Pelodiscus sinensis: one gene and its partners. The protein of the gene in region 1 binds, or shares a complex with, the protein of each later gene. Links are inferred from orthologs where the notes say so. Each region holds a gene or a part of one and is shown on either strand. Other genes may lie near its edges. The genes, in order: SART3, CCNT1, USP15 and USP4.

Evidence for each region.
Region 2: SART3 (region 1) and CCNT1 share a complex: the UniProt entries of both Homo sapiens proteins name them as parts of the 7SK snRNP complex. The link is inferred for Pelodiscus sinensis from reciprocal best matches to the Homo sapiens genes SART3 and CCNT1.
Region 3: the proteins of SART3 (region 1) and USP15 are in contact, whole or in part, in a crystal structure (PDB 5JJW), measured with the Homo sapiens proteins. The link is inferred for Pelodiscus sinensis from reciprocal best matches to the Homo sapiens genes SART3 and USP15. Residues at the interface, in NP_055521.1 of Homo sapiens: Ser438, Ser439, Lys440, Glu443, Gln490, Arg493, Glu494, Trp496, Asp497, Met500, Thr501, Ala505, Trp511, Tyr514, Arg533, Cys537; in NP_001239007.1 of Homo sapiens: Ser23, Leu24, Asp48, Trp50, Gly121, Met122, Phe123, Val124, Lys125, His126, Lys128.
Region 4: the proteins of SART3 (region 1) and USP4 are in contact, whole or in part, in a crystal structure (PDB 5CTR), measured with the Homo sapiens proteins. The link is inferred for Pelodiscus sinensis from reciprocal best matches to the Homo sapiens genes SART3 and USP4. Residues at the interface, in NP_055521.1 of Homo sapiens: Asp437, Ser438, Ser439, Lys440, Gln490, Arg493, Glu494, Trp496, Asp497, Met500, Thr501, Ala505, Trp511, Tyr514, Lys529, Arg533, Cys537; in NP_003354.2 of Homo sapiens: Met24, Thr27, Leu28, Ser53, Trp54, Glu123, Gly125, Leu126, Phe127, Val128, Lys129, His130, Cys131, Lys132.

The regions. Positions count from the first base shown.
Region 1 is NC_134725.1:36,567,766-36,575,393, forward strand, and holds the start of SART3 (spliceosome associated factor 3, U4/U6 recycling protein), read right to left. Parts: upstream 3,007-7,628; 5' UTR 2,497-3,006; coding exon 2,323-2,496; intron 1-2,322. Other genes in the region: iron-sulfur cluster assembly enzyme ISCU, read left to right, coding at 4,807-4,905, 5,977-6,090, 6,829-6,939. UniProt on the Homo sapiens protein: U6 snRNP-binding protein that functions as a recycling factor of the splicing machinery. Promotes the initial reassembly of U4 and U6 snRNPs following their ejection from the spliceosome during its maturation.
Region 2 is NC_134729.1:5,163,326-5,171,118, reverse strand, and holds the start of CCNT1 (cyclin-T1), read right to left. Parts: upstream 3,008-7,793; 5' UTR 2,965-3,007; coding exon 2,783-2,964; intron 2,207-2,782; coding exon 2,125-2,206; intron 1,462-2,124; exon of another isoform or gene 1,459-1,461; coding exon 1,330-1,458; intron 945-1,329; coding exon 858-944; intron 527-857; coding exon 466-526; intron 1-465. Other genes in the region: SPMIP11 (sperm microtubule inner protein 11), read left to right, coding at 6,249-6,333, 7,611-7,745. UniProt on the Homo sapiens protein: Regulatory subunit of the cyclin-dependent kinase pair (CDK9/cyclin-T1) complex, also called positive transcription elongation factor B (P-TEFb), which facilitates the transition from abortive to productive elongation by phosphorylating the CTD (C-terminal domain) of the large subunit of RNA polymerase II (RNA Pol II).
Region 3 is NC_134711.1:59,323,388-59,330,664, reverse strand, and holds the start of USP15 (ubiquitin carboxyl-terminal hydrolase 15), read right to left. Parts: upstream 3,015-7,277; 5' UTR 2,937-3,014; coding exon 2,848-2,936; intron 1,756-2,847; exon of another isoform or gene 1,665-1,755; intron 1-1,664. UniProt on the Homo sapiens protein: Hydrolase that removes conjugated ubiquitin from target proteins and regulates various pathways such as the TGF-beta receptor signaling, NF-kappa-B and RNF41/NRDP1-PRKN pathways.
Region 4 is NC_134721.1:46,559,726-46,567,294, reverse strand, and holds the start of USP4 (ubiquitin carboxyl-terminal hydrolase 4), read right to left. Parts: upstream 3,007-7,569; 5' UTR 2,958-3,006; coding exon 2,851-2,957; intron 1-2,850.

The DNA of each region.
Region 1 (7,628 bases):
TGTAAGAGAGTATATCCAGCAATTGGTTACTAGGGTAGAACTTCAGAGTTCTATTTTGGACTGTGCCATCAATTCCTTCAGTGTCTCAGGTAATGGCTACACTATAGAGCTTACAGCAGTGCAACTGTAAGCTCTCTAGTGGAGCTGCTCTCAGTGGACTGGAGAGAGCTCTCCAATTAATCCACCCCAACAAGTGGCAGCTGGAGAAGATCTCTTAACAACATAGAGCAGTTCACAATGGTTCTTATGTTGGCGTAATTTACATTGCTCAGGGAGTGGTTTGTTCACACCCCGAGCAACATAAAATACACCAGTCAAAGTGCTAGTGTAGACCTACCCCCAGACTGCTCAATGTGAAGTGAAAATAATACACGCCTTTCACCAGTCTGCATAAAGGTTGTGCAATGTTTCATTGTTTTCAAAGCCCACTGAGGGTACAAAATGAAAGATTCTATTTTGGCAGGTGACTGAACTGAGCCCTTGGAGCTAGAAGCCACTGTTTAATAATGTGGATCCTCAGGTGATAAGCATAATAAGCAGGTGCCTAAATCTCACTAAGCAGTTGTGCACATTTGTCTAATCATCATTTTAGTGGTAAAACTGATGGTTTGTATCCAAATTGCAGTAGATCCCACTTTTCAATAACACTGTACAAAAACGGAGAATTTGCTCCAGTAAACTAATATAAATATCCAAAAAATGTTAGCTTCCCATCTAATAACTGGAAATAGCAAACATAAGCAGTTCTCAAGATAAAATAGTAGTTTCTGAGATGTGAAAAGATCGAAGTTCTTTTCTAATTAAGGTTCTGCCTCCCTATTCTCAATGTACGTCAAGCTCAGAAAAACATTTGTTACTGCATGGTCCACCTTGCAGTTCATTTCAACAACAGACACGCATGCTTTCCAATTATATTAGTCCTCAAGAAGTTCTATTCCTGGTTGCAACCATCAATTATTTCAGTAATCAGTGCATAGAGAAAACCCTCTGAAGTTAGCACTATTCCAGTTTGCCATAGCAATTAAAACACCAAAGAATTACACAACAGAACTATTTCATAAAGATATAACATTTTCATAATTACCATGCTGAAATTAAAAGCGAAGAGCACATTTCTGTAGAAATTCTGAAAGTGTCTCCAACTGAAAGGGTTGTGTACCAAGACAGCTAAAAAAGGTACATATTTCAATTCTCGAACAGAAACCACACATAGTTTATGAATAGTATAATGTACATACATTACACATGATTATGAAACTTTGAATTTGTTAGCAATATTAGGGTTTAACTGATTAACTGTTTAACCAATCAGCTGATGCTTATCAGTTAATGGTACAGATTACACTCAACCAATTCCAGGGGGAGGTGGTTTCACTGCAGTAGGGAAGAGAAGTTTCCTTCCCAGGGAGGACAAGCAGCTCTCTTCCTCCTCCCAAGCGAGGTAGGCAGCTTCACTGAAGGCTCTACAGTACTGCTGAACCAGTAGCACATGTAGCCACTAAGATTTTTAGCAGTTTCACAGTTACCCTATTACACGATTTTTAACATCCCTTGTTCCACTGTGTGTTCAAAGAATTTGAGACTATAAACAAACAGAAAGGATTTCTTGATATTTTACAACAGACAGCAGAATTATACAATCCTGGATTAACACTACAGAATGAATGGGTGTGAATTCCCCACACCTAAAAGTTCACCCATCTATACTATCACATGTTCCTTATTCTCTTTAATCCACTAGTTCCAAAAATCTCTCCCTTTCTTCACATGTTAATTGTGCTCCAACATTTAATGGGGGGGCCACGATACAGACTCCATCACCTATTGATTCCTTTGCTCTATCAATATTAATGATGTGTACGGCCCTAGCCCCCACAAAATGCAACTCTGCTTCCTGTGCACACACAGACAATCCCTGGCCTATAGCTCCTAACAGATGAAGGCAAGCAGCGATAAGCAAGGGCAGAGAAGGATTCTGTTCTTCTGTGCACCCTACAGAAAGCGTGGGGGCTCCTGCTGAGCAGTGACTAGCCCCCAGTCTGGATGCTCACACCCCCCAAGGATGAGGGCCCGATGCTCTGGCCTGGGCGCTACTCGCAGAGCCCCCAGGGCGGCGCTTCCCTCCTGCACACCCCGAGCCGCAGCCGCGGAGCCGCCTCCCCCTCCCCGCGCGCTGCGGGGACCGAACCGAGGGTGACCCCGCCGGCCGAGGCAGGGCTGAGGGCGGCTCCACGCGCGAGGCAACGGGCTTCGCGGGCGCACCCGGCTCGCGCCCCGCCCCCTCCCCCCGCGTGCCCACGAGCACCGGGCCGCGATCCCCACCTGCTCCTCCAGCCGCTGGATCTCGGCTTCGTTCTCCTTCTCCTCGTCCTCGCCATCCGCCGACGAGCCCGAGTCGCTCTCGTCCCCGCCCTGCTCCTCCGGCCGCCGCTCTTCCTCCGCCGCCGCCGCTACTGCCGCCGTCTCTTCGGGCCCGGCTGCCGCCGCCTCCGCCATCTTGTGCAGCTACGCGCTGCGCACTGCCTGCCGACCTCGGCCAAGCCGCGGGGCTGCCGCTGGCGCGCCTGACTCGCCCGTCCCCGCGCAGATGCTGAACGCACCCCCGACAAGAAGATTGAAGGCCCGGGTGGAGCTCGCTGTACTCAGCTCTGCAGCAACGGCTGTTTCCGATTAGGGAGTCACGGCCTTCTCGTGATGGATTCTTACAGGCACCTGCGTGGGCTGCTGAGGTCCTCCTGGGCATGTCGGGGCCCTGAAGGAGGTCCCCCTGGCCAGGGCTTGTCGGTAGGGGAAGGACCCAGGCTTGGCCGCCATATTGTGTGTGGCAACTCTTCTGTACGCAGGCTCAAAGGCTTGCTTGGGCTTTGAGCACCTCTGTCCATAGCAAAATGGCTCGGGTCTTGTTGCTGCGTCCCCGCTCATCCTCCCACAACCATAGCAGGATGAGAGCCATTGTAATAACTGGACATTCAGTACACGATGTACGTGTATCATGGATGGTGCAGGGGCTAGTGCATAAGAAATTAAATATTCTCGTCTTTATAAAGTTCCCGTAGCTGCATCACTAGAGAATGGGATATGGCATGGGAATTAAATATGGTGAAATGTATTTGCAAAGTCCACCCCTCCATCCCTCTTACCTCTTTCTGGTGACCTTGCACAAGAAATTAAAACAGATATTTGCAAAACTCCCTCTGACCTGTCCAACCTCAGTGTTCAGGATGCTGTCTAAATATTTGATAAAACTGTAAAGCATCCTAAGGCAGCAAGGTCTGGAAATATGCAAATGGGAATATGAATAAAAAAACTTGCACCTCTTCTCTCCCCCCCCCCCCCCCCCCATTAGAACTCATTCCCTCAGAAGCCAAATGAGAAACCAAGTACTGATCACAACAGAGCAAGACTATTATTAGCTCTCTGGTCTGGAATCCTGACTAGCTAATTGTCAAACTACAACACTGTATAGGACAAATTCAGGCTTTGGATAAACTGCCTGGCTACGTCTAGACTGGCATGATTTTCCGGAAATGTTTTTAACAGAAAAGTTTTCCGTTAAAAGCATTTTCGGCACAGAGCGTCTAGATTGGCACGGACACTTTTCCGCAAAAGCACTTTTTGCGGAAAAGCGTCCGTGGCCAATCTAGACACACTTTTCTGCAAAAAAGCCCCAATCATCATTTTCGCGATCAGGGCTTTTTTGCGCAAAACAAATCTCAGCTGTCTACACTGGCCCTTTTGTGCAAAAGTTTTGCACAAAAGGGACTTTTGCCCGAATGGGAGCAGCATAGTATTTCCGCAAAAAACGCTGATTTCTTACAGTAGGAAATCAGTGCTTTTGCGGAAATTCAAGCGGCCAGTGTAGACAGCAGGCAAGTTTTTCCAGAAAAGCAACTGATTTTCCAGAAAAACTGGCCAGTCTAGACACAGCCCGAGAGTGGATCATCTGTCAGCCAGCTGTTAGGTGAGTCCTGTAAATGGTTCTGAACATGGTGCAAAACACAGTTGGCTTTAGAGATGTAAGTGACTAGCCTAAGCAACTAGTCAACTATTAGGTGGAAGGGAGCAGGAGCCTGTGCTGGGAAGAACCAATTAGGTTCCCACCACCATGTCTCCACTGTGGGATGGAAACAGAAGCATACCAGTTCCCACTCCTGGCACTTCTGCTTTTGAAATGTACAAGAGTCCTTTTTTGAACCCTGATCTTCACAATTTGCTCTAGCAAGGAGTTCCACTGATTGCAATAAGCCTGGAAGGCATAAACACATATCTCAGTGGGCTGGGTCTTCCCCGCTTGGATGGCTTGTTGCTCCCCTAGGCAAGTGGGTGTGTGCACAATGTGCACCGGGCCCAGGCACAGAACAGCTGTTGGTTAAGCCTGGGTTGGTTTCTGCCGGGCAATACTCGGGTTCATCCAGACCCGGCTATTGGCTCGCTCAGGCCTGGGCAGCTCTCCCGGGGCAGCGATGCCGAGCAGGCGTGGAGGGTCCATTTCCCAAGCGCAGAGCAAAAGGATGCAAAGCGCCGTAAACATGTCCTGGGGGCGCGCCCTGCTGCACGCGGCGCTGCGCGGCCCCCGCCGGCACCAGCAGACACGTGACCGGCCGGGTTGGATACCACAGGGGGGAGGGGCCGGACACGCGCCTTCTAGCTGCTGCTCTTTGAGCCCCGCAAGTCACTGCCCTTTGCCCCTCGCGAGGGGGCGGGGCCAGGACACGTGCGGGTCACGTGGGGGGCGTGACGCGACGCGCTCCTAACAGTGCGCGGGGACAGGGCGGGACATCTCGCGCTGCCCGCTGCCGAGAGAAGATGGCGGCGCTGAGGCTGACGGGGGGCTGGGCTGCCGCTGCGCTGCTGAGACCCGGGCCCGGGGGGTTGGCAGGCCCCGCCGCGGGGTATCACAAGAAGGTCAGTGAGGGGGCCGGGAGCAGCACTGGGGGCGGGGGGGGCCTTGTAGGCGAGATGTGAGTCCTTAGGGGCGGGGCGTGAGGGGGCAAGAGGCTGACAGCAGCGATGGGGGCGGGGGGGAGTAGAGAGGGGGGAGGGGAGTAGAGAGGGATGGGGGCGGGGGGGAGTAGAGAGGGGGGAGGGGAGTAGAGAGGGGTGGGGGCAGCATTGGGGGCGGGGGAGTAGAGAGGGGGGAGGGGTGGGGGCAGCATTGGGGGCGGGGGAGTAGAGAGGGGGGAGGGGTGGGGGCAGCATTGGGGGCGGGGGAGTAGAGGGGGGAGGGGTGGGGGCAGCATTGGGGGCGGGGGAGTAGAGGGGGGGAGGGGTGGGGGCAGCATTGGGGCAGGGGGGAGTAGAGAGGGGGAGGGGTGGGGGCAGCATTGGGGGCGGGGGGGAGTAGAGAGGGGGAGGGGTGGGGGCAGCATTGGGGGCGGGGGGGAGTAGAGAGGGGGGAGGGGTGGGGGCAGCATTGGGGGCGGGGGGGAGTAGAGAGGGGGGAGGGGTGGGGGCAGCATTGGGGGCGGGGGGGAGTAGAGAGGGGGGAGGGGTGGGGGCAGCATTGGGGGCGGGGGGAGTAGACAGGGGGGAGGGGTGGGGCAGCATTGGGGGCGGGGGGGAGTAGAGAGGGGGAGGGGTGGGGGCAGCATTGGGGGCGGGGGGGAGTAGAGAGGGGGGAGGGGTGGGGGCAGCATTGGGGCAGGAGGTTGTTGGTTGTGAGATCAGCATGGAGGGGAGGTAGAGCAGAGAGGGATTGGGAGGAAAGAACTTGGCAGGGGTGAAGAAGAGGATGGGATCCTGGGAGTTGTGTGGGAAACTTGGGACTGGGAAAGGAGAAGGAGGTCTGGCTATTGTGGGACTAGGGGGCTTATGGACTCCCATGCCCTTGAAGCTGGGGCAGCGTTGGGGAGGTTCTCAGCCGTGCCATGCACTGGGCTTTCTTGCAGTATGTTTTAAACTGCACAGACGTTGTGAGCGCTTTCCTAGACAGGGACTGTAGATACCATAATCCTTGCCAATAAAATTCCCTTTTAGGTAGTGGATCACTACGAAAATCCTAGAAACGTGGGCTCCCTTGATAAGAGTGCAAAGAACGTTGGCACTGGATTAGTGGGTGCCCCTGCCTGTGGAGATGTGATGAAATTACAGGTGAGTTATCAAATAACAAACATGATTATTTCTGTGTTCACTGAGAGATCTCTAGTATATTGAATATTATGAACTGACCACGCTGGTTATGTTGACAATCATATAAGCTGTTTGCCAGAAAAAAAGAGAGGACATGCAAGTAACTTTACAAAATGAAAAGTTACAGAATATGAACATATTAGTCTTAAATGAGAACTGCCTTCACATGAAACTTCTGGTGGATAATTCTGATTTAATGGTATTACAGGTGGTAAAATAAAAAATATAAAAGAGCCTCTATTTCATTTATATATCTGATTGTTTCCCATACATTGTCATGTTATCCACTGTTAAAATGTTCTGGTGAAAATCAACAAGAATATCAGGAGGATTTAGAGGCAGGTGTCAGCTCTGAAGACTACATTTAACTCACCTTTTGAAACAAAAGTAGACCTTAAGTGGATGATGTCCATTAAAGTCTACTTGTAACTGCTGTCTTAAACCACTAGTAAAATGACTTTCCGTTTCTAGAACTAAAATGTAAATGTTTTACAGTATTCCTTGCCTTACTCTTAGGTCCTATTCTGCTACCATGGATACCAATGTGAAGGATACTTTGCCTTGATTTCTGTGAATAGGTTGAAATCAAATCATTATCAAGCTGAGTCCTCTTCAGTTATAGTACCACAAGAATGTTATGTAACCAAATATATAACACAAATATTATATACCAAATCAATGTCATTGGAATTCTTGCAGGTTGAAGTAGATAAAAATGGAAAAATTGTTGATGCAAGATTCAAAACATTTGGCTGTGGATCAGCAATTGCCTCAAGCTCATTGGCCACAGAATGGATTAAAGGAAAAACGGTAAAACTGACTTCACATCTGTGAAAGAGCATATTACACAAAAACTAGCAGCATAAATCGCTATTAATGCTACACCATTCATTATTAGAGGCTATATGTGGAACCATGAGAAGCATAGTATGAAGTTTCCGTTTTACCTAGTGTGAATTTTTTCTACAATGAAGCAGGTTAAAAATATTTCATCCCTGTCAATGAAATGTGATCTAGTTTACTAATCTTAATTTCCATTTCTAGAAAAGCAGACCTTACTTTGATAGCTTAATTTTCAAAGTGGCTTTGGCCTACATAGCCAGAAATAATTTATGCATATTTTCCTGACAGAGGATATTGTGAAGACCAAGTCTTTAACAGGGTTCAAAAAAGAACTAGTTAAATTCATGGAGGATATATCCCTCAATATTTATTAGCCAGGATAGGTAGGAAGGGTGTCCCTAGCCTTTGTTTGTCAGAAGCTGTTCATATGAAAATTTTTTGCTTACGTCTGGTATCTTGGGATGGAAGGAGAATGGGAAAGATGTTGATAGGGTGGTCAGAGCAATTTGTTTATACACAACCCTTTTAAAATGCTTTTGCACTATCAGTAAGCATACCAAAATAATTCTTTGTATGTTTCTCTCACAACCCCATCCTGAAGGTTAGTCCTCAAAACACGTCTTTCACAAATCTGTGGCTCAAGATGACCACCTCAG
Region 2 (7,793 bases), on another chromosome or scaffold:
AAAAATACCCCAAAAACAAATGCTAAAATAGCCCATCAAAGCAGCAGGCAACCTGATCAAAACATGGACATTGATTCTAGACTCCTTTCACTACACCAGAGCAGAGCGTCACCCATTCCAACCAGGTGATTAGAGTACCACGATGTTACAGTCTATAACACTTGTAACCAGAGTTACTGACATCCAAGCAGAACAAAACCTGTTGGGGATAGAAACAAGCCAAACTGCATATTTTTAAGCTAACAACTCAAATTAAAGTGAAACCTGAAAACACATGTATTCGAACCAAAGCATGAACTAGTGGTGTGAAAAAATAGTTTGTTGCCTGAACTCTTGCTCTCCCATTGGCCAGCTGTGCATCTGCCCTCCAGCTGTGAAGAAGACTGTGGAGTTAGACTTTCCGCTCTGCAGAGCGCTCCTGGGTCTGGGATTCGAGTGGAAGCCCGTCCGCTTTGAGAAACTTACCCAGGGTCTGCAGTATAATGCTCTCTAGAATGACCAGGTCTTGGGCTTGCTGCAGGTAAGCCTGGGGTTGAGAGGACAGGCAGGTTACTCACGATGAGCCACTCTGTATAAAGCCTGCACATTTCTAACTCTCTCTCAGGGAGGCCACAAAAATAAATTAATAAAAAAAAATCAAGGGGGAATCTTTATCCCACTCAGTACTAGAGGGAACTGGCACAGATTCCCCCCCCAAAAGAGAGAAAGCCAAGTGCTGGATGGGTACACTCCTTTGCTAGTGTTCATTTCACATGGGTTGCTGTGGCTGGAACTACGTGCTTTAGTCTTTGTCTCTCCATAAGAGTTTTACACATGAAGGGACATGTCAATGTGAGAAGCGTAGGTTAAAATTTAACCTTTTCATCATTTTCTACAAGCTTTGGCTCCTGGATAAAGCTTCTCCCTTTCAGCAGGGTTGGACACTCAGTTCCAGTTATGAAGGGCTGTCATGAGAGATGGGGAAATGGAAATATTTTTAACAATCTCATCATTAGACAGGAATGAACCATACACACTATTTTCTGCTTTGTTACAAGTGCTATTTAACCCTGACAGACATGTTCACTCCCTGCCCAGAAGCCTCTAATGCAGACACGACTACATGGCACATCGGATTCTTTTGTTGACATCCATGTAATAGAGGGAAACATGAGAGACCATAGAGCAGATGAGACAAGTCATCTACTCTTTAGAAGCCTGATGAGACGCTTTCCCACAAGTTATTTCTATTACCAGGATTCTACATGTCAGGATGCAGTACTCTGTGAGTATGTTCTCATTCCTCTCTCTCAAGCATGGAAATCATTCTGCTGGAGTCTGACCACTTACCTCGCTCCTAGTGTCTGGAGGGGTGTCCAGAGGATGCAGGCATGCGTGTGCTACCTTGATTACATGCTCCAGCTTACGAGGCTGTTCCTCCACCTTGGCTGCCAAGAACAGAGCTGCTGGTGCCACAGACTTCATTGGGCGGGGGGAGGGGAGGGGAGGGAAAAAAACATAAAAATTGTCTCCTGCTTCAAATATTCACACGCCTGTAGTGTCAGTGTCCAGACAGGCTCTGCTGCTATGAACCTCTCTGAGCAACCTTAGAGCTATGAAACAGTTGTATTTACTGATTTCCTCCAGGCGTCAAATCTATGGTGTAAATATGGATTTTAGGAGCTACAAGAAAAGTATTCCCTTTTAAATGCCTGTAGTAGGAAAACACTGTGTTTTGTTTTAAAGTCAGTAAAAGTGCAGGAAGTCAACTTCTAAAACTAACTAAAGAAACATTCATAGAACAAGAAAAATCTTTTAAGGATCCAAAGAATGCCAGCTGTGACAAAGTCATAATTACTGGCCATTACATTACATCTTTTGCCCAAAGATATCAAAGTACCTAATCAGTCCAAGCTCACAATCTCCCCTCCCAGGAGGTAGTCCAGTATTACTTCTATTTTAGAGATACGTAAATGGAAGTACAAAGAAAAGATGCTCTTTAGGTCACACAGCAAAGAGAACCCAGATCTCTTCACTCCCCCCGTTGTGCCAATTTAGGGGCAGGGAAATGTTGATAACGAACAGCTGTCACAGGAGGCTGTCCCCGGTTTTCAGACAAAAGGCAACTGCCCAACCAATACTTACGTTGCGGTGAAACTGGGTGAAGGACTGAACCATGTAGAACCGGTGCACATACACGATAGCTGTATTGATGGTCAGCTGAGAGCTGACGGCGTGGAGTTAAGAAAAATCAGTCTTGAAATTCTGCACGTCCGCCCCCCTCTTTCTGGGGAGCGGAGCACTTTGGCGGGCAAGGCGCTGGTGGCAGGCAGCGGTGGGCAACGTGCAGCGCAACGGGGATCTGCATGTGGCCCCGGAGACGCTTTCTTTACAGAGCCCCCCCCCCGCAGAGGTGGGGGCTGGTTTCCATCCGCGGAGGTTTTTGTTCTCTACGGGGGCTACTGAAGGGACGCGCAGGTGAAGCCAGGGGCACGTGCAGCGAGGGGGGGAGCCGGGCGGTCCCTGCTACGGTTCCACCGCCCCGGGAACGCAAGTGCAGCGGGCGGCGGCAGCACCCCCCCCCCCCCGGGAGAGCGGCCCGCGCGCGCAGCGCACTCGCCGGCCCCCCCGCCGATGCCAGGCGTCCCGCGGGAGGCGCGGTGGGGAGGGGAGGGGTCACTGAGCCGCGGGCGGCCCGGCTGGGGGAGGGGCTCGCCCGGCGGGCGGCGGGAGGGGGCGCGTTTCCGCTGCCCCGGGCCCGCTACTCGAGCCCCAGGCTGCGCGGCCTACCCGGCGCGGATACACGTTGAGGCGCTGGCCCATGTCCTGCAGCAGGTTGGCCGCCTGCTGCCGGTACGAGAGCTCCTTGTCCGGGTCGAGCCCGGCGCGCCGGGAGGGGCTGCGCTCCAGCTGCTCGCGGCTGAAGTACCAGCGCTTCCCCGCGCCGCCGCCGCCGCCGGCCCCTCCGCTCACTGAGGCCTCCATGGCGATCCGCGGGGCGCGCGCACGCCCCCCCCCCCACCGGGCGCGCGCGCGCGCACGCACGACGTCTTGCGCGCGCATGCGCCCCGCGGCGCGAGCGGGCGGCGGGGCAAGCAGGGGCCGCATTGCGCATGCGGCCGGCGCGTCCCGCGTTCAGGAGTACGAGCCGAGTCCAGCTTGTGCGCAGGTTGCGGCTAGGCCGCTGAGTGGGACTGCACTGCGCATGCGTGAGACCTGGGGGGGGCGCCTAGGGAACAGAAGTGGGCATGCGCAGAAGCAGGACCCTGGGGAGGCGGGTCGCTGGGTGGGGAGTGGTGTTGTCTTGACCTCTGACCCTTCTAGCCAACCTGACCCAGCCCCCCCCCCGTGACCCTGCCCTTCATCCCACTTCCATGACCCCCCCCAGCCCTCAGTGACCCCACCCCCCATGACCCCACCTGGCATCCCACCCCCCATGACCCCAGCTGACACCCCAACCCCGTGACCCCCACCCCCATGACCCCACCTGGCATCCCACCCCCCATGACCCCCACCCCCATGACCCCACCTGGCATCCCACCCCCCATGACCCCAGCTGACACCCCAACCCCGTGACCCCCACCCCCATGACCCCACCTGGCATCCCACCCCCCCATGACCCCAGCTGACACCCCAATGCCGTGACCCCCACCCCCCATGACCCCACCTGACATCCCACCCCCCATGACCCCAGCTGACACCCCAACGCCGTGACCCCCCACCCCCCATGACCCCACCTGGCATCCCACCCCCCATGACCCCACCTGACACCCCAACGCCGTGACCCCCCACCCCCCATGACCCCACCTGGCATCCCACCCCCCATGACCCCACCTGACATCCCACCCCCCATGACCCCAGCTGACACCCCAACCCCGTGACCCCCACCCCCCATGACCCCACCTGGCATCCCACCCCCCATGACCCCAGCTGACACCCCAACCCCGTGACCCCACCCCCCATGACCCCACCTGGCATCCCACCCCCCATGACCCCAGCTGACACCCCAACCCCCTGACCCCCACCCCGTGACCCCCCCCGACTGCACCTGAGCCCTCAGCCCCCTGCACCTGTGACTCCAGACCACCCCATGCCAACACAACCATTTTTAGCCCAGCCTCCCACCAGCCCAGAGCCCAGTCTCCACCCCCTGCTCATGTATAAGTGGCTGGTTCTGCCCTCAGGGCAGAGCTGCCCCTCCTCAGTGCATGGCAGTGCTCAAAGAAGCAAACAGGAAAAAAAGGGTCCTAAGGAACGGGGCTGAAAAGAATGTAGCACCCTACTCCTGGGGTCCCTCGGCTGGGACGTGAGTGAGAGATTCAGAGAGATGCAATGAGGATGATTCACAGATTAAAAGGACTGGGACTTAGTGAAGAAAGTGAAGTGAAAGAAAGTGAAAAAAGAAGAGACATATGTGACTGAGATTTTTAAAGTAAACATTGGAGAAGGAACTTGGGCATGGCGCCGGCTCTTATTGCAGGGGAAAGGTGACAACCAAGGGCATTTAAGTCTGATGAGACATTGCATTCTACAAAGCACAAATAGCGTAGCTCACTGCTACAGTATATAACTGGGGGCAAAAGCTTAGGAGATTGAGCTAAAAGGAGCACCCATTTATAGGGCCAATGAGAGCCACAAGAGTAAAATTTGCATTTTACAAGGGACAGAAATGCCCCAATGATGGGGATGAAACCTCCACTCGGTGATGGGGAAGTAGAGCACTTTCTTCTTAGGGGAAGGTTTTTCTACAACTGCTCACTTCAGAGTTTCTTGCCCTTCTGCCTCCAGAACTGGCCCCTGTTGGAAAGAGGATGTTTCCCTGCTCAGCCAGGGCATTCCTATGTTATCCGGGTTGGTTTACAACAGATGGCCAACACAAAATAACAGAGGACAAGGAAGACCGCTGGGAAAGTTGAATTCTTCCTACTAAATGTTTGCATGCTGGTTGTGCCCCCAAAACTCGAGGAGGGGGGCAGGGCCCCCACTGTACTGTGTACTGTATGCATATAGAAATGAGGTAATCTGTCTGCTGGAGTCCTTTCTAGACACCAAACATCTGCAAGTGCCTGAGCAATTCCTCAGATAGCAGGATGCCAGACACTTTGGCCTACACCCACCCAGCACCCCCACAACATCAAAATAGACTCCCCTGGAGCAGGCTGGCAGCTCCAGGGAGGGAATTAATTTGTGACCAAGGACTCCAGACTCTTATTGCTAAAGATCTTCAGTGTTGCTGACTGACCCACCCCGTAGAGATAATCTGTCCTGTGCGGGATGAAGGACAAAGTGACCCTGCTGACATCCACACAGCCTAGAGAACTCCGTCTGCTACAAGGTCCTTGAGAATCTCATGAGACAGCATTTTCAAAGAACTGAACGGACACCAGTTTATTTACTTGAACGTGAGATCAGCCAGACTGGGTCAGAACAAAGGTCCATCCAGCCCAGTATCCTGTCTTCCAACAGTGACCAATGCCAAGTGCCCCACAGGGAATGAACAGAACAGGGAATCATGAAGCGACCATCCTCTGTCACTCATTCCCAGTTTCTGACAAACAGAGTCTAGGGACGCCATCCCTGCCCATACTGGCTAATAACATTGATGGACCTGTCCTCCATCAATGTATCTAGTTCTCTTTTGAACCCTGTTAAAGTCCTGGTCTTCACAACATCCTCCGGCAAGGAGTTCCACAGGTGGGCTGTGCATTGTGTGAAGAAATACTTCCTTCTATTTTAAACCTGCTACTAGTAATTTCATTTGGTTCTTGTGTTATAGGAACAAGTAAATAACTTTTCCTTATTTTACTTGGAGCCCCCAGAGAGCAGACCGATTGGAATGACTCCTAGTCCCTACCTATCTGCACTGGATTAAAAGCAATGTGTGGGTAGGTGCCTGGAGTGCTGATGTGATTGAGGTGCCAGGATTTTCCCGTTATACGAACAGCAGGTGAGCAGAGCTCCCTGAGCTGGAGTGGAGAGGGTTTTTGAGGGGCCAACCCTCCTCCTTTTGCTGAAGTTTGGTCTCAGGTACCCCAGATTTAATACAACACAAACCCAAGCCAGAAGACAAGCTGTCGTCGTGACCACCTCCCATTACAGCCTCACAAACCCACATTCCAACTGGGTGGGAGGAGAGTCACCAACCAGGCTGCTGGGGCATCTCTATGGCAACGGAATCAACAGTTGCTTCACGGCAAAGCACCAGGGGCTGGAGGGAGCCAGAAAGCGCCTTCCTCGACTGACCCGGGCGGACGCAGGCGGCGTAGGAAATGGCTTTCTTTGGATTAACCTACCTGGGGTACCAGGAGCCCTTTCGGGAGAAAAAGCTGGCGTTAAAAACACCTGATGCAGCAGGTAAGAAGAGAGCCCAGATGCTATGGTGATGGGTGCATTAGAAACAGACCCGACTTGTCGCTGGTTGGTGGGCCAAGCACCCTGGAGAGCAGACTGGGGCTCTTCGTAGGGCAACAATTACAAGGCTTTTCCTTGGGTGATGTTAAAAAACTCTGACCCTCCCCCAGTCTCCTGGTGGGACAGCCCAGTGGAGTGGAAGGGGACAGGCATGTGTCAGTTAATAAAAGCCCTTCGCCAGTCGCCCCAGGGTGGTAGTGGTTTAAACCTGGAGCGGAGCCCCACTAACCCAAATCACTGTAGCATTCCAGCAGTCCCGCTACCTCCCAGTCTCTCTGCATCCGAGGCTCATGGGTGGAGGTCAGAGGGTCTCTTCCAGCCTCCTTAAGTTACCTCTGGCCTCATGTTCCAAGTACCATCCTGCCAGATGAGGATTGGACAGGTCTCTCTGCAGGAGTCACTGTTTGTAGCTGGCTACTTGAGCCTGCAGAAGGGTCAGGTTCAAACCCCCTCTGGGCAGCAGAGACTGAATTTCAGCCACTGACGAGCACCGGTCAGCAGCCCAGGTGTGAAACAAGTTCTCGGAGGACCGGGTTTCTACCTCAAAACTCACCATGGCCTTGGAAAGGGTTCAGAAAAGGGCAACTAAAATGATTAGGTGTTTGGAACGGGTCCCATATGAGGAGAGTTTAAAGAGACTGGGATTTTTCAGTTTAGAAAAGAGGAGACTGAGGGGGGATATGATAAAGGTATATAAAATCATGAGTGGTGTGGAGAGGGCCAATAAAGAAAAGTTATTTATTAGTTCCCTAAATAGAAGAACTAGAGGACACCAAATGAAATTAATGGGTAGCAGGTTTAAAACTAATAAAAGAAAGTTCTTCTTCACACAGCGTGTAGTCAACCTGTGGAACTCCTTGCCAGAGGAGGCTGTGAAGGCTAGGACTATAATAGAGTTTAAAGAGAAGCTAGATAATTTCATGGAGGTTAGGTCCATAAAAGGCTATTAGCCAGGGGATAAAATGGTGTCCTTGGCCTCTGTTTGTCAGAGGCTGGAGAGAGATGGCAGGAGACAAATCACTTGATCATTGTCTTCGGCCCACCCTCTCTGGGGCACCTGGTGCTGGCCACTGTCGGCAGACAGGATACTGGGCTAGACGGACCTTTGGTCTGACCCAGTCCGGCTGTTCTTATGTTCTTACCATGCCAGGCCCCCAGCCGCCCTGCTGGGGCCGTCTCCTGGGCTTCATTTTAAGTTTCCTTCTTGTCCTTCTCCTCAGGGCCGAAGCCACTCAGAGGGGGATTATTTCACCCATCGCTCCCCCCCATCGGCCCTGGGCGCTTGGATGGCACGGTGCACCAGGGCAGCCACGACCGCTATCGAGAGGCTGTGACGCACCGTTGGCTCCAGAGAAGTGAGTGAACAGTGTAATTCTCACGAGAGGGGGAACACGGAGTCAACA
Region 3 (7,277 bases), on another chromosome or scaffold:
AAGCCGGAAAAAAGCGGCAGACATTTTTATTTAAATGCCGCGGGGGATATTTAAATCCCCCGCGGATTTCCCTATAACGACCTGTAAAATTAGCATGCCCCTTTCGGAAAAGGGGCCAGTGTAGACGTAGCCACGTAGTACTATCAGCACATATAGATATGCTAGCCAGAGTAAACCAGTCATTAACCCTGAGCAAAGTAAGTTAGAATAGAAGTTGGCATGCATTTTTTGTCAGCATAACTTTCTTTTGTATGAATGACTACCAAAGTTCTGAATTGTGATATGCTGCTTGCTTCAGACCTACTTTCTTGCTTATAACAATGCTAAAGAAGCTACTACCCAGTCTTATTATGAAATACTATAAAGGTAACCTTGTTTCGTAAAACCTACCAACTTACTATATTACTATTTGAACACTTGATGTCAGTAAGAGGTTCATATCCATTTTTATACTTGCTCTGCCTCTTAAAATAAGCAGTTTTTTTGCAGAAGTTTTACAATCATACTAAATTTCAGACCTAGTGTCTGATATTATATACAGAAGAAAATATAGTTGAACCTCTCTGGTCCAGAGTGATTTTAGTTAGCCAGATGTCCACATATCATGGGTATGGCCAAATTTCCTGCAGTACGTTTATCTCCACTGGTCCCGGCTCTCAATTTTCTGTGCTGTTATTTAGCTCTAATTTACCCCTAAATGTTTTCTAAGAGCCCAGTAAGCAGTGGGAGTGTTGGTATTGCTGCTAGAAAATATTGACTTCCCATGGTTCCACAAATTCTCTGGCTCAGCACTGGTCAGGTCCCAAGAGCGCTGCACTAGATTCAACCTGTACAACCATTTTGACCACACCGTTATACTAATATCTATCAAATACATTTCCATTCCATGCATCTGACAAAGTGGTTTTTACTCACAAAAGCTTATGCACAAATAAATCTGTTAGTTTTTAAGTTGCCACAGGACTTAGTCTGTATCTGCAAAAACAACAACAGTGGCTGCCCCTTTACACTTATCTAAGTCAACAGAATTTTTTGAACATGTTCAAAAGTCGACTTTTGTTAAACTTACTGTTTTATCCTCCTATTCTGCAGCAAGACAATGGCCACTGTTAACAGTATTCAAAATGGAAGAAACTACTGGTTTGAGTGTAATTCCTTGCACTTAAACAAGAAACACTGGTCACAGTGATAATCCCTTTCAAAACAGAACACTATTAATCATCTCTTGTTCCCATAATATATGAACTAGGGGCCACCAAATGAAACTAATGGGCAGCAGGTTTAAAACAAATAAAAGGAAGTTCTACTTCACACACCGCATAGTCAATCTGTGGAACTCCTTGCCTGAGGAGGCTGTGAAGGCTAGGACTATAACAGGGTTTAAAGAGAACTAGATAAATTCATGGAGGTTAAGTCCATAAATGGCTATTAGCCGTATGGGTAAGGAATGGTGTCTCTAGCCTCTATTTGTCAGAGGGTGGAGATGGATGGCAGGAGAGAGATCGCTTGATCATTACCTGTTCGATTCACTCCCTCTAGGACACCTGGCATTAGCCACTGTTGGCAGACAAGGTACTGGGCTGGACAGACCTTTGGTCTGACCCAAACTTATTTCTTATTTTCAGTATTAATATGTTAATTATACTTGGCTCCCTTTTTTCTAGATGCTTCTACTTTTGCAGAGTTTAAAACCAACTTGTTCTTATGCCAAGAAACGAATATCTACTCATCAGCATTTGAATAATGCATCAGAATGTATGTATGGCTCTGACACATGTTCTAGCAGCACCACCATTAAATACCATATCTTACAGAATTAGAACAGCAAGTGGTGACATATTAAGTCAAAATGATGTAGGTGGTCTATTTCTAAGGATCACACTTACTTTTAAGTAAATCTAAATTTGTGACACTTCAGGGCGTGGGTAGGAGTGTGAATGGGAGGGAAGATATTAGTCCTCCTGGAAGTACTAAGAATTTTTCAAGTTATCTTACTCAGGAGACGGTTTCTAGGAACCAGGAATCTGAGAATTCCCTGTAACTGAACACCAAGCAAATAAAAGGAATTACTAGATCTGTTTCATGCTTCATAAGCATGAGGCAGTTTGTATGATCTCCTGTCAATTAAAAAACTGAAACCTAAAGATACAAGACATCTGAACACAAGAACAGATTAAAGTTACAATTAAACAGCACTGTCTGCTAGCACCTTCAGAGGCTTCACGCTATGGAGTGATAAGCTTGACCCGAGGCCTAGCATGACTGGGGGAAAGGTTTTTTGGGATGCTCCGCTTGGCAAATATGAAACCTGTCGCTACCCGAAAGGGCAGGTGGGGCCATTTCCCTGGTTTATGTTTGAATAATGGAACAGGTACCTGCCGGGGGGAAGGGAGGGACCGAGCTCTGCTCATCGCCCCCTTCCCGGCGCCGGCCAAACGCCCGGCAATCCCAGGCCCTTCATTGTCCTGGCCACACGGAACTCCCCCGCATGCCCAGCTGGGCTCGGGCCAGAGCGGCGGGAGCTACCTGCTCCGGGCAGCCGCAGGGCCCTGGCAGCTCGGACCATGCCGAGGCAGACTTCATGGACACAGGAAGAGTCAGCGCCGCTGGCCAACGCGGCCCCGCCCCCACCTTCACCTGCAGCTCGGCCTCAGCCGCTCCCGAGCCCCGCTGTCCCCTGAAGCCGCGGGCGCCACCCCCCGGGGAGGGTGGGTGGGTGCAGGGCCCGGCCCGCCCCGTTACCAGCAGGGAGCCTATCGGCCCCTCTCCACCTCCCACAGCGCAGCGGCCCCAGGGTGGGAACCCGCTCGCCCCAGGGCCCAACGCCGCCCCCCGCCCCTCCCTCACCAGGTGTCGCCCTTGCGCAGGGCGGTTTTAAGCAGCGCCGCGACGTCCGAGCGCTGGGTCTCCAGATCCGCCGCGCCTCCCTCCGCCATCTTCTCCCCCCGGCGGCGGTGGCGGCGGCAGCAGGGGCAGGAGCGGGCCGCGCTGCATGCTGGGAGTGACGCCAACTGGGAGACGCCCTCGCCACCGCAACAGGGAGGCGGAGACAAGAGGGGAGACCGCGCGTGACCTGCGGGCGCGGGGAGCCGCTGCTGCCCTCTGGCGGGCTGGCGGGCTCCGCTCCGCCTGTGGCGGGGTGTGACGGGGGGAGGAGCAGGCGAGAGGGAGCGGGGACGCGCCGCTATCACAGGTCTGGACTCTTCCAAGCCGCGTGCGCCTGGCCCTGCGTCGCGGAGATGCTATGTAACCTTTGTAGTTTATTGGCTTACGTGCTCATTTCGTCTTGCCTCCAGACCCTATCAAATTGCTTCTCCTCTGTCCATCTGCCGCCTATATAATCTACTGTAATGTTTTGCTTAACCAGTGTTCACCAGGTTAACCCCTGGTTGTCACTCCGCCAGCGCTGAGTGTGTAATAAATCCTCTGACTTTTTTTCACCTGCATCCAGAGTGTCCAGAATTATTCCCTACAATGGTCACAATGGACCTGGTTGCCGAGAACAGCTTCCAAGTCTGGAGGAGTTCCTGGTAGAACTCCGGCAGCTCTGAGAGGTCTCGCAGAAGACCCCCTCGGGTGGAGAAAAAAGAGCTGCCAGTCTGGGGCAGGACGGGGAGCGCCACCTGCCAGCGTAAAGTACCCCGCTATCCTGGCAGCAAAGCCCCAGAGCCCAGTGGGGTGAGGCGGTGTCTCTTACTGCATGCTAGTCTGTTGGCATGGAGAGATAGACACGTTTCCTGGGGCAGTCTCAAAATCTCTGGCCAACAAAGGCAGGCGCCTTTTCCAGGCCTGGCAAGTGTCTCTCTCACTGACATCGTGGGTCCAATAAAAGACCTCTCCCCCACATAACCTGGGACTTTCAGGCTATGTCTAAGCTACATCACTCTTTCAAAAGAGGGATGAAAATTAGACAGATACAAATTGCAAATGAAGCCTGGATTTGAATTTCCCGTGCTTCATTTGTATAATGGCGGTAGTCTTTCGAAAAAGGGCTTTTTGAAAGTAAAATCGATGTCTAGATGTGGTTCTTTCAGGGGAAAAAAAACCCTTTTTTGAAAGATCCTGTACTCCTCAAAAAATGAGCCCCATGTTAACCCAAACTGCAACAGCGGGCCGCAAACAAACGGGCCACATGTTGAATAGCCCTGGTATATATGTATATATGCATATGTCTGTCTTTAAATCAATAGTTAATTTACATGCAGCATCTGGAATTACATAAAGATGTATTTCAATATTGTATACACTAGGCATATGGTCTTTACTATTGTATTATATGCTTACTTTTAATTACAGCCTCTCCCAGAGTAATGAACAAGTTACGGGCCAAACACTTGGCCGTAACTCGATCTGTTCATAACTCGGACCCCTTTGAGTTACAAAGCGACCGTAACTCGACCGTTGCAACTCGGGGACTGGCTGTATGTATTCAGTAGTGTAGATTCTACTAAAGACTTGTTCAAACCGGGATACTGTGGATAATTGAGTATACAAGAATAGGTTGTTTGCTGAGGAGAGAACTGCAAAAAATTCAAAGAATAAACAGCAATGAATATACAGAAAGGAAATACACATTTTTGGTCAGCATATCGCAGACCCCACAGAGAATGGGTAGATGATATAGTAGATTGGTGCGGAGCTAGTCTACAGAAACTAAGCCACTCCGCACTAGAGAGGGAAAGATGGAAGGAAATAGGGAGGCATTGGACACCAACAAGTATAGAGCCCATGGTTATTGATGATGATGATGATGATATCATAATCCTAACAAGAAAGATATCTGAACTGTCCTTGGCTGCTGCTGTGGCCCTCCAAATAGCTAGGGTATGTTTTGGTGATTAGATTTTTTTTTAATGATCTATTTAGAGGAATAAATGGGAGAAAGGGCAAGAGCAACTGTTTCAATAAACAGAAATATTGTCTTTGTACATAATAGGAATGTTAGTGTGTACTCATTTACACAATTAACCAATAAGTCTGAGCTCACCAGTTAATCCTAACAGTTACACAAACCCCTCACCTCGCAGCAAGGTGAGGAGAAGCCCATGCCCATGAGGAACTTGCTTTCTGTGAGCACCAGCTGGTGCCTGACCCCCTGCATGTAAATGTGTAACCACTAAAAAATTCAGCAATTACATATTTACAAAAATAAATGTTTTTTATCATCCCTAGTACATAGCTTGTTGCTGGTGGCTATTCTAGAACTAATATAAATGACCTATTCAGCCTAAGCTGAGAAGCATGAGAACTAATGATTGTAACAAGGCTGCACAAAAGTTAATTTTTGTCTTGTAATGGGATCAAGTTGACTGTTGTAATAACACTAAGGGAAGCAATCTCCACCTTCCTGCCTATTGCATGGTTGTACAGTCAGATGGGGTATTTGATCTGCAATGAATAGATCTGGAACTCTGTCTCAGCTGAAGAATTAGGATAACTGAAAATGAAACTGTTTAATATTTAGCTCCTACATGCGAGAAAGAGGTTGTTTTTTTAACAAGTCTATTCTTCAAGAGTTATTGGGGTTATTTTATTTAATACATGTAATACAATGTTTAAAAAATATTTCCATAAATACTTAGCCCTTACGCAGTATTCTGTATCTTCAAATGCTTTATGAATATGAAGTAATCTTCTCTATATATAATTTAGAGTGCATCTTTGTGTGTCTATCTGCAAGTCTTTCTGTTTCTTAAACTTTTTAACACCAAACAATAATTATTTTTATGAGGAACATCAAGGATTTTTTGAGGAAAAAAAAGGTCAGGGGGAAGTTATTGAGGGGAAAAAAAGGTTGGGGGAAAAGTTATTGAGCAAAAAAAAAAGTCACCCACCCCTTTAAGGGCAGCCATTTTGAACTCTGTTATTCTCCACGGCACTACTCCGACTGCCTTGCAACACACCGGTGTGCCACGGAACATAATTTAAGAAACACTGTCCTAAACAGTTAGAGGTAGGGTTACCATATTTGGCATTCAGCTTCCTTTTCTCCTAACTTAAAGCAAGGTCGGGGGTTGGTTGTGCCAGGACAACCGGAAGGCCCAGGAACAGGACTGTTTCCTATAACATGCAAGGGGAGGTCCTGTTTGAAGGGATGCAATACTGAAAGTGGCCACTAGAGGCAGCAAGCCCGCAGGAGAGAGCTATCCTACGGGGGAAGCCATATCACCAAGGGAGTGGCGAGCAGCACTGAGGCTCCACTATCTTGCCTGCAAACACGCCAGGTAACTAGTCCCCCTGCCCCAAACCCTTTGCCCTCCTCCCTGCCTTTGGCCACAGCACCGGAGGAGAGAAAGAGGCTGTTCTCAGCTATGTGGTACTGCTGGGGGGGGGGGGGGGAAGAAAACACCTCTGGGGACCAGGATGGGGGTGCTGGAGGAATAGAAAATGCCCTGGGCAGGCAGGGGAAGGAAGGGGAACAGAAAATGCCCCCAGCGGCCAGAGGAGCACTCGGGGGGAGAGAACAGGCCCATGAATGGTTAACCATATTTGATAAGCATCACCCTTACTGGTTCATGCTTACTGGTTACCGTTAATCAGTGGGCTGGAGCAGTTCCCCGCCTGCAATGGGTAGGTGACTGTTACAGCTATGAGGCACCTTCCACAGTGCAGGCAGGGGCGCTCCAGCCCAGCCAGAGCAGCCTCTGTCCACAATTAGCCCAGCCTCACCAGAGCAGCCCTTGGCCACGGTGGGCTTGGCCTGGCTGGAGCAGTCCCCCAGCCCGTGGCCAGGAGGGGAGCTCCAGCGCAGGCCCCATTTAATCTGTTAAGCAATTAATCAGAACATTTCAATGCTAAACTGATTAACCAGGATATTATGTCCCTATTGTAAAGCTCTTCTCTCAGTAGTTGCATAGGTGCCAGACTCAGAGGGCTATGGCCCAGCTACTTTTTGACCTGCCACAGTCCAGCTTGGGACAGGTGATCCAGTGGCACCATGGCCAGTTTATCACAGGGGAGACCTTCACCTGTACATTGTAGTGAAAGCCAATGGCAGCAGAATGGGGGAAGAAGAGGGGATTGGCTAGGGGAGGAAGCTGAATCAGTCCTATGGGATAGGAACCATTTCAGACTGAGTTCAAGGTGGGCTTCCTCTTCAATCAACAATTCCTAAAGGCCTCATATCCCCCAGAGACTGGACCTGAACCTTCCTACCAGCATGGCCCCCCAACTTTAAATGTTACACTTCAGGCTATGTACGTGCTTGAATTAACTATTTTGAATTTTAAAAAAGAGGGGAAAAAACCCTTCCAGAGCCAAGGGTATCTTAATTATAT
Region 4 (7,569 bases), on another chromosome or scaffold:
GCAAAGCCCAGGCCAGGAGTACAGGGTGTCAGCCAGGAGCTGAGACCCGCCTTACTCAGCCACTGGCTCCACTCTTACAGCAGGACACAGAGCCACATGCCAGAGGCCTGAAAGCACCAGCAGTGCCACTCAGCCTGGCCCAGCTCCGCTCCCCAGCCCCAGGCTCGCTCTCCAACCTCCCCCCCCCCAGCTCCGCTCCCCGGCCCCAGGCTCGCTCTCCAACCTCCCCCCGCCCCCCCAGCTCCGCTCCCCGGCCCCAGGCTCGCTCTCCAACCTCCCCCCGCCCCCCAGCTCCGCTCCCGGGCCCCAGGCTCGCTCTCCAACCTCCCCCCACCTCCGCTCCCGGGCCCCAGGCTCGCTCTCCAACCTCCCCCCGCCCCCCCAGCTCCGCTCCCCGGCCCCAGGCTCGCTCTCCAACCTCCCCCCACCCCCCAGCTCCGCTCCCGGGCCCCAGGCTCGCTCTCCAACCTCCCCCCACCTCCGCTCCCGGGCCCCAGGCTCGCTCCCCAACCTCCCCCCCCCCAGCTCCGCTCCCCGGCCCCAGGCTCGCTCTCCAACCTCCCCCCCCCCCCCAGTTCCGCTCCCGGGCCCCAGGCTCGCTCTCCAACCTCCCCCCACCTCCGCTCCCGGGCCCCAGGCTCGCTCCCCAACCTCCCCCCCCCCAGCTCCGCTCCCCGGCCCCAGGCTCGCTCTCCAACCTCCCCCCCCCCAGTTCCGCTCCCGGGCCCCAGGCTCGCTCTCCACCCTCCCCCCCCCAGCTCCGCTCCCCGGCCCCAGGCTCGCTCCCCAACCTCCCCCCCCCCAGCTCCGCTCCCCGGCCCCAGGCTCGCTCCCCAACCTCCCCCCCCCCCCAGCTCCGCTCCCCGGCCCCAGGCTCGCTCCCCAACCTCCCCCCCCCCCAGCTCCGCTCCCCGGCCCCAGGCTCGCTCCCCAACCTCCCCCCCCCCCAGCTCCGCTCCCCGGCCCCAGGCTCGCTCTCCAACCTCCCCCCCCCCAGCTCCGCTCCCCGGCCCCAGGCTCGCTCTCCAACCTCCCCCCCCCCAGCTCCGCTCCCCGGCCCCAGGCTCGCTCCCCAACCTCCCCCCCCCAGCTCCGCTCCCCGGCCCCAGGCTCGCTCCCCAACCTCCCCCCCCCCAGCTCCGCTCCCGGGCCCCAGGCTCGCTCCCCAACCTCCCCCCCCCAGCTCCGCTCCCCGGCCCCAGGCTCGCTCCCCAACCTCCCCCCCCCGCTCCGCTCCCCGGCCCCAGGCTCGCTCTCCAACCTCCCCCCCCCCCAGCTCCGCTCCCCGGCCCCAGGCTCGCTCTCCAACCTCCCCCCCCCCCAGCTCCGCTCCCCGGCCCCAGGCTCGCTCTCCAACCTCCCCCCCCCCCAGCTCCGCTCCCCGGCCCCAGGCTCGCTCCCCAACCTCCCCCCCCCCAGCTCCGCTCCCCGGCCCCAGGCTCGCTCTCCAACCTCCCCCCCCCAGCTCCGCTCCCCGGCCCCAGGCTCGCTCTCCAACCTCCCCCCAGCTCCGCTCCCGGGCCCCAGGCTCGCTCTCCAACCTCCCCCCCCCCAGTTCCGCTCCCGGGCCCCAGGCTCGCTCTCCAACCTCCCCCCCCCCAGCTCCGCTCCCCGGCCCCAGGCTCGCTCTCCAACCTCCCCCCTCCCCAGCTCCGCTCCCCGGCCCCAGGCTCGCTCTCCAACCTCCCCCCTCCCCAGCTCCGCTCCCCGGCCCCAGGCTCGCTCTCCAACCTCCCCCCCCCCAGTTCCGCTCCCGGGCCCCAGGCTCGCTCTCCAACCTCCCCCCCCCCAGTTCCGCTCCCGGGCCCCAGGCTCGCTCTCCAACCTCCCCCCCCCCCAGCTCCGCTCCCCGGCCCCAGGCTCGCTCCCCAACCTCCCCCCCCCCCAGCTCCGCTCCCCGGCCCCAGGCTCGCTCCCCAACCTCCCCCCCCCCCAGCTCCGCTCCCCGGCCCCAGGCTCGCTCCCCAACCTCCCCCCCCCCCCAGCTCCGCTCCCCGGCCCCAGGCTCGCTCCCCAACCTCCCCCCCCCCAGTTCCGCTCCCGGGCCCCAGGCTCGCTCCCCAACCTCCCCCCGCCCCCCCAGCTCCGCTCCCCGGCCCCAGGCTCGCTCCCCAACCTCCCCCCGCCCCCCCAGCTCCGCTCCCCGGCCCCAGGCTCGCTCCCCAACCTCCCCCCACCCCCCAGCTCCGCTCCCCGGCCCCAGGCTCGCTCTCCAACCTCCCCCCCCCCCAGCTCCGCTCCCCGGCCCCAGGCTCGCTCCCCAACCTCCCCCCCCCCCAGCTCCGCTCCCCGGCCCCAGGCTCGCTCCCCAACCTCCCCCCCCCCCAGCTCCGCTCCCCGGCCCCAGGCTCGCTCTCCAACCTCCCCCCCCCCCAGCTCCGCTCCCGGGCCCCAGGCTCGCTCTCCAACCTCCCCCCCCCCCAGCTCCGCTCCCCGGCCCCAGGCTCGCTCCCCAACCTCCCCCCCCCCCAGCTCCGCTCCCCGGCCCCAGGCTCGCTCCCCAACCTCCCCCCCCCCAGCTCCGCTCCCCGGCCCCAGGCTCGCTCTCCAACCTCCCCCCCCCCCAGCTCCGCTCCCCGGCCCCAGGCTCGCTCCCCAACCTCCCCCCACCCCCCAGCTCCGCTCCCCGGCCCCAGGCTCGCTCTCCAACCTCCCCCCCCCCCAGCTCCGCTCCCCGGCCCCAGGCTCGCTCTCCAACCTCCCCCCCCCCAGCTCCGCTCCCCGGCCCCAGGCTCGCTCTCCAACCTCCCCCCCCCCAGCTCCGCTCCCCGGCCCCAGGCTCGCTCTCCAACCTCCCCCCCCCCAGCTCCGCTCCCCGGCCCCAGGCTTCCCCTCTCCAGCCCCCCTCACCAAGACTCGCCCGGCCGCAGCGCCATGCCCAGCAGCGGCCCCAGCTCTGCCCGCTGGGCCCCGACATCCGGCATCGAGCCCCCGCCGCTCTCCAACTCCGTCGCCATATTCGTGCGCGCAGCACCGCCCACCCCCCGCGGCGGATATCCGGCCTGCCGGGCGCATGCGCAGTGCCCTCCGCCCGGGCGGCTCTTCTAGCCCTGAGCATGCGCATTAACGTGCGCTGTGGCGCTGCCCGGCCTGGGCATTCGGCCGGCTCCCTGTGGCGCCGCCGGGGCTGAAGGGCGCGAAAGGGAAGGGGCGGGGCGGGGCGGGGCGGGGCGGGGGGCAAGTTCCCCTTCCAGAAGCAGAGAGGCTAATTTACATATCAACGGTAAGAAGCCGTTTGGCTCCTAGTTAGAGGCTGCGCCGCTAGGAGGCGCAAAGTCTGTGCCTCCGCCTCACCGCGCAGCCGCGTTACCCGCCCGAGGGCGGCGCCTCACCGCGCAGCCGCGTTACCCGCCCGAGGGCGGCGCCTCTCTGCGCAGCCGCGTTACCCGCCTCAGCCTGTGCCATGTGGGTGGAGAGAGGCAGCCCCCCCCCCCCCCCCGGTGGTCCCAGATCGTTTCCGGGCCCGTCCCCAGGGCGCCGGATCCTTCCCGCAAACCCCATTCGTCCTGCCCCTCCCCCATCGTTGCCCTCGCCCCGCCGTGACGTTACGTCCGGCGAGTGCTGCCTTTGCGGCAGGGGCGCGACCCCGCCGCTCGGGGCCGGTAGCTGAATGCGGCCCGCGGGCCAGACGGGTTGCGGCCCGCGGGCCAGGCCTTGCCCACCCGCGTCCTCGCCCCGCTCCCCAGGGCCCAGGCTGTCTGGCCGGGGGTTGCCGGGATCACTCGGAACTCTCCCGTCCTGCATTTCCCTGGCGGGCTGCTTGTGCCATAAACATCCTGCGGGGGGGGGTCTCTGCAGTGTGGCTGGTGTAAGAGAATCTGGACTAAACTGACTCGGGTCTGTTCCACTTCAAGTCACGTTCCTAAAAGAGCACCCATGAAATGCGTTGCACACCCCAGGGTGCGGGGAGCGAGTATTTCTTGACCAGAACCAGACAGTCCAGATTCCACCATACTTCAAAAACGCCCTTGCTAAACAGTTTTGAAATCTGCACCAATCATAGCCTTATGTTGCCTTCTGCTTCATTGTGAATGCTAAATACAGCAGCTGCTTGGTGCTAAATGCTGCACAAGCCAGGACATAATTGTTTTACACCACTGAATGCACATTCCCGCTCATTGTGCAAGCTACATTTGAAATCGGTCTAGGCTGCCTGCTCCTGATAGCCCAAAAATACCCTTAGCATCACTTATGTTACAGTAAGAGGTGGAGACTTACGTGAAAGAGGAAGACACTTATCAGAGTTAGGCAACTATAGCACCACATACTAGCACAGAAGCCTTGCGCAGTCTGTGCAAGAGACAGACATCCTGTTTTACACCAGAAGGAGTGACAGTTGAGCAACATTGTGGCAAACACTGCAACAGTCATTTCTTCAGCCCAATGCGAAACTGGAACTGACAGTCAGATCCACTGCCCCTTAGGAACTGGCTTGCATGAGTACAGGAGAGGCAGAGACATGCTCTGGAGAATGCAGAACCATTTAGAAATGTAGCAGCTGAAGTGGTTTCAAAGTTGGGTGGGAGCTGGATCTAGCCCCCCAGCTTAATCTGATCCAACCCACAGCAGGCAGGCAGCCCCCAGCCTCGGGTGCCCACACTGGGCTGGTGCCCACAAAGCACACTGAATTAAGTGAGAGTGAGAGACAGGTTTTTTTATTCTTGTGTGTGGCCCCAAGTTGACTTTTCTGTGTGTCACTGGCCCTTGGCCAAAAAACATTCCTCAACCTTGTTCTGAGTACACCTTCCTCCTCTCCCCAAGCCAACGGGTGCTGGTTTGTGTTTGACCCACCTCAGCTCACCTGTACTGAAGAGCCTGTTGCCCCGGGCTTTGTCATAGGCTTGTTGCAGCGTCTCTGTGCACAAGGGTTAGAAATCACAGCCAAATACTGGGACTAAGCATGGCCTCCTTCCCTCCCTGTAGGGCGCAGGTGGCTTCTCTCCACCAGGAATTGGCCTGCTCAATTGTATTGACAGGCAAGCCCTCCCCCACCCCTCAGAAAAAGCCATGAACATAATTTCGCCGCTCCCGGTACCAGTCCCAACACACTGCTGCTGGGTACCTTGTTACTGTCCCTTCTTCTGGGCCCCTGGCAGGGTGCAGCTTGTATGTGGCTTGGCAGAGCAGCTCAACCTGTTTTAACTCTTCTGGAATGTTGTGGTAAACTCGCACAGCCCCTCCACGGGCACGTCCGGCAGTATGGGAGAGTAACACTCCACTCAAGCGACACGCCAGCCCCCCGGCCAGTCTGGTGAGTGCACACAACAGTTACACCCGTGCAGCTATCTGTTCACCCCTTATCTCCCACTGCCATTCTCCATGTGCACAAGCCCCAAGTGAGAGCAGAGGGGACGTATCTGTCACTTCCTCCAGGCCACGTCTCCCACGAGCTGTGGTCCCACGAGCCCCGTCACAGACCAGAACATGTGTGAGCCACTGTTGAGCCTCACTCCCCATTTGAAGCAAAGGTTTGTGCGGCATTCTCTGCCTCCTGAGCAGGTCAGAACAAGCTGCTATGACAAATACTTGTAACACCCAGCACAAGCCATGCTGAATTCAAAGTTGCAGCATTTTGGCAGTTCATTGTACTACCAATGGAAGCGTTACTGTGGGGTGACCTGGAAACACCTGGAAGACAGGATTCATGCCACCTCCGACAAGTACTGGAGTATCGCTCACACGCCGACACAGACATAACTCATCGTGGAGACAATTCGAGTGAATTGGACTTCGGGGGCAGATTGCAAACTCCCACGCGGGGCTCAGCTTTTGAAGTTACACCCTCCAGGGGTTGGGCGGGGACAGGACCCCAGTCTGCTGCTTACCTTGTACAGAGCACTTTGGAGACCCGCTCAGGAAGGAGTTAGCTGGTTCTTGTCCGGAGCACGAGGAAAACCTGCAGGTGGTGTTTGAACGACTTCCCTGGTCAGAGGCAGGTTTGCTGGCAGGCAGTGGGGGAGGGGGGGGGGTGTTCCTGGTAACGCTGTTACCTTCGCAGTAATGGCCCGACAGAAGCAGCTGGGGAGGGGGGGCACTTACAGGGGTTCCTGTCACTGAGGAGTGGACAGCAGGCTGCCTTACAGCCAGGTGTTGCTGGGGAGGTCACAGTCCAGGCAGAGTGCTGATCCATCTGGAACCCCCAGGCCAGGCAGCCGAGACACATCTTCCCGAGGAGCCCAGGATGGGGGTCCTGGCTGGGCCAGAGGGGGTACAGGCCCAGCACAGAATGGGTGCCAGCAAAGTTGGAAGCAAGCTGGCATGCCCCGGAGTGACACACTGAGACGGGCTGGCTGGGGGCAGGGCTCTGGATGTACAATTTAGATGAATGGGCTAATCGAATAGTCGGTGCAGTTTGCATCATATATTCGATTAGCCGATAGGCGCCTCCGCCTGTGAAGAGAGGCAACAGTCCCTGGGCTGCTGCTACGCGTCAAATGAGAAAGCGCTGCGGGGAGCAGGGGCTAGTGAGGCAGTCTCCAGCTGGCCCCGGGCTTCACGCAGTGTTTCAAAGTGGCAGCACCGTGTGGAGCCCGGGGTCTGGTCCCAGAGCCCGTGCGGTGCTGCCACTGTGAAGCACCCCCTCTTTTTCCCCCCTTTGCTGCCTCGGAGAGATGCAGCAAGGGGGTGGGAAGTGACTAGTCCTTCACATCCCTAGTTCCTCTGTCCCAGCCAGCCTGGCACCCAAGCAGTTGGGCAGCCCCGGGGACCCATTGTCCTGCAGTACAGGAAATGCACACCCAGCCCTGGGTCCCCCCAATCCCAATCCCTGAAGCCCCCACCCCACAACTCTCTGCCCTGAACCCCCACAGCTCTCGCTTGACTCCTGCACCCACCCACCCACCCCCAAGCACTGCACAGCTCCCACCCCCTGCAATGAGTGCCCCCCACTCACGCTCCAGCTCCCTGCCTTGAACCCCTGGCACTCGATCCCACACATTTCCACCAGGTGCTGTCCTATCACACACACCCCCAACCACTGCCCTGACCACTGCAATAGGACAGAACCGGTCAGTTCCCATCACCCCGATTGGCCAGTGCTATAAATTGGGTCAGACCAGACAGGATGGTTAAAATCTTTACAACCACGACAGTGCAACGTGGCCACCCCTTCTCCATACAGAAGCCATGAGACACTAATCTGCCCCCCTCCCCCGCTAACGAGGCAGTGATGTCACAAAAGGACAGGCAGATGGTCTTCAGGAATTGTATTGGTAACACAAAGGCTCAAAACAAGCTGCCCAGACTCAGGGCTGCTTCCCCTGCAGCAGTTTGCTAAAAATTCACATGCAACTTTTACAGACAACATCAAGTGCTCCTCCGGAAGGGTTTGGAAGAAGCACCATCATGAGTAAAACTTCCATGGACAATAGCATTGTACATACAGGGCAAAGAGGTCACAGAAAGAGCAGGCAGGCCAGGTGAGAGACCTGAAGGCCAGCAGACTGAGGCAACAGGAGGCAGAGATAACAAGCCTGAGGAGGATGACAGAGCCGAGAGAGAAAAGTTTCTGCAGAACTTTGGCTTGGTTGAGAGCGTTCTAGGGGTCTTGCTGGAGGAGTTTTTCGATAT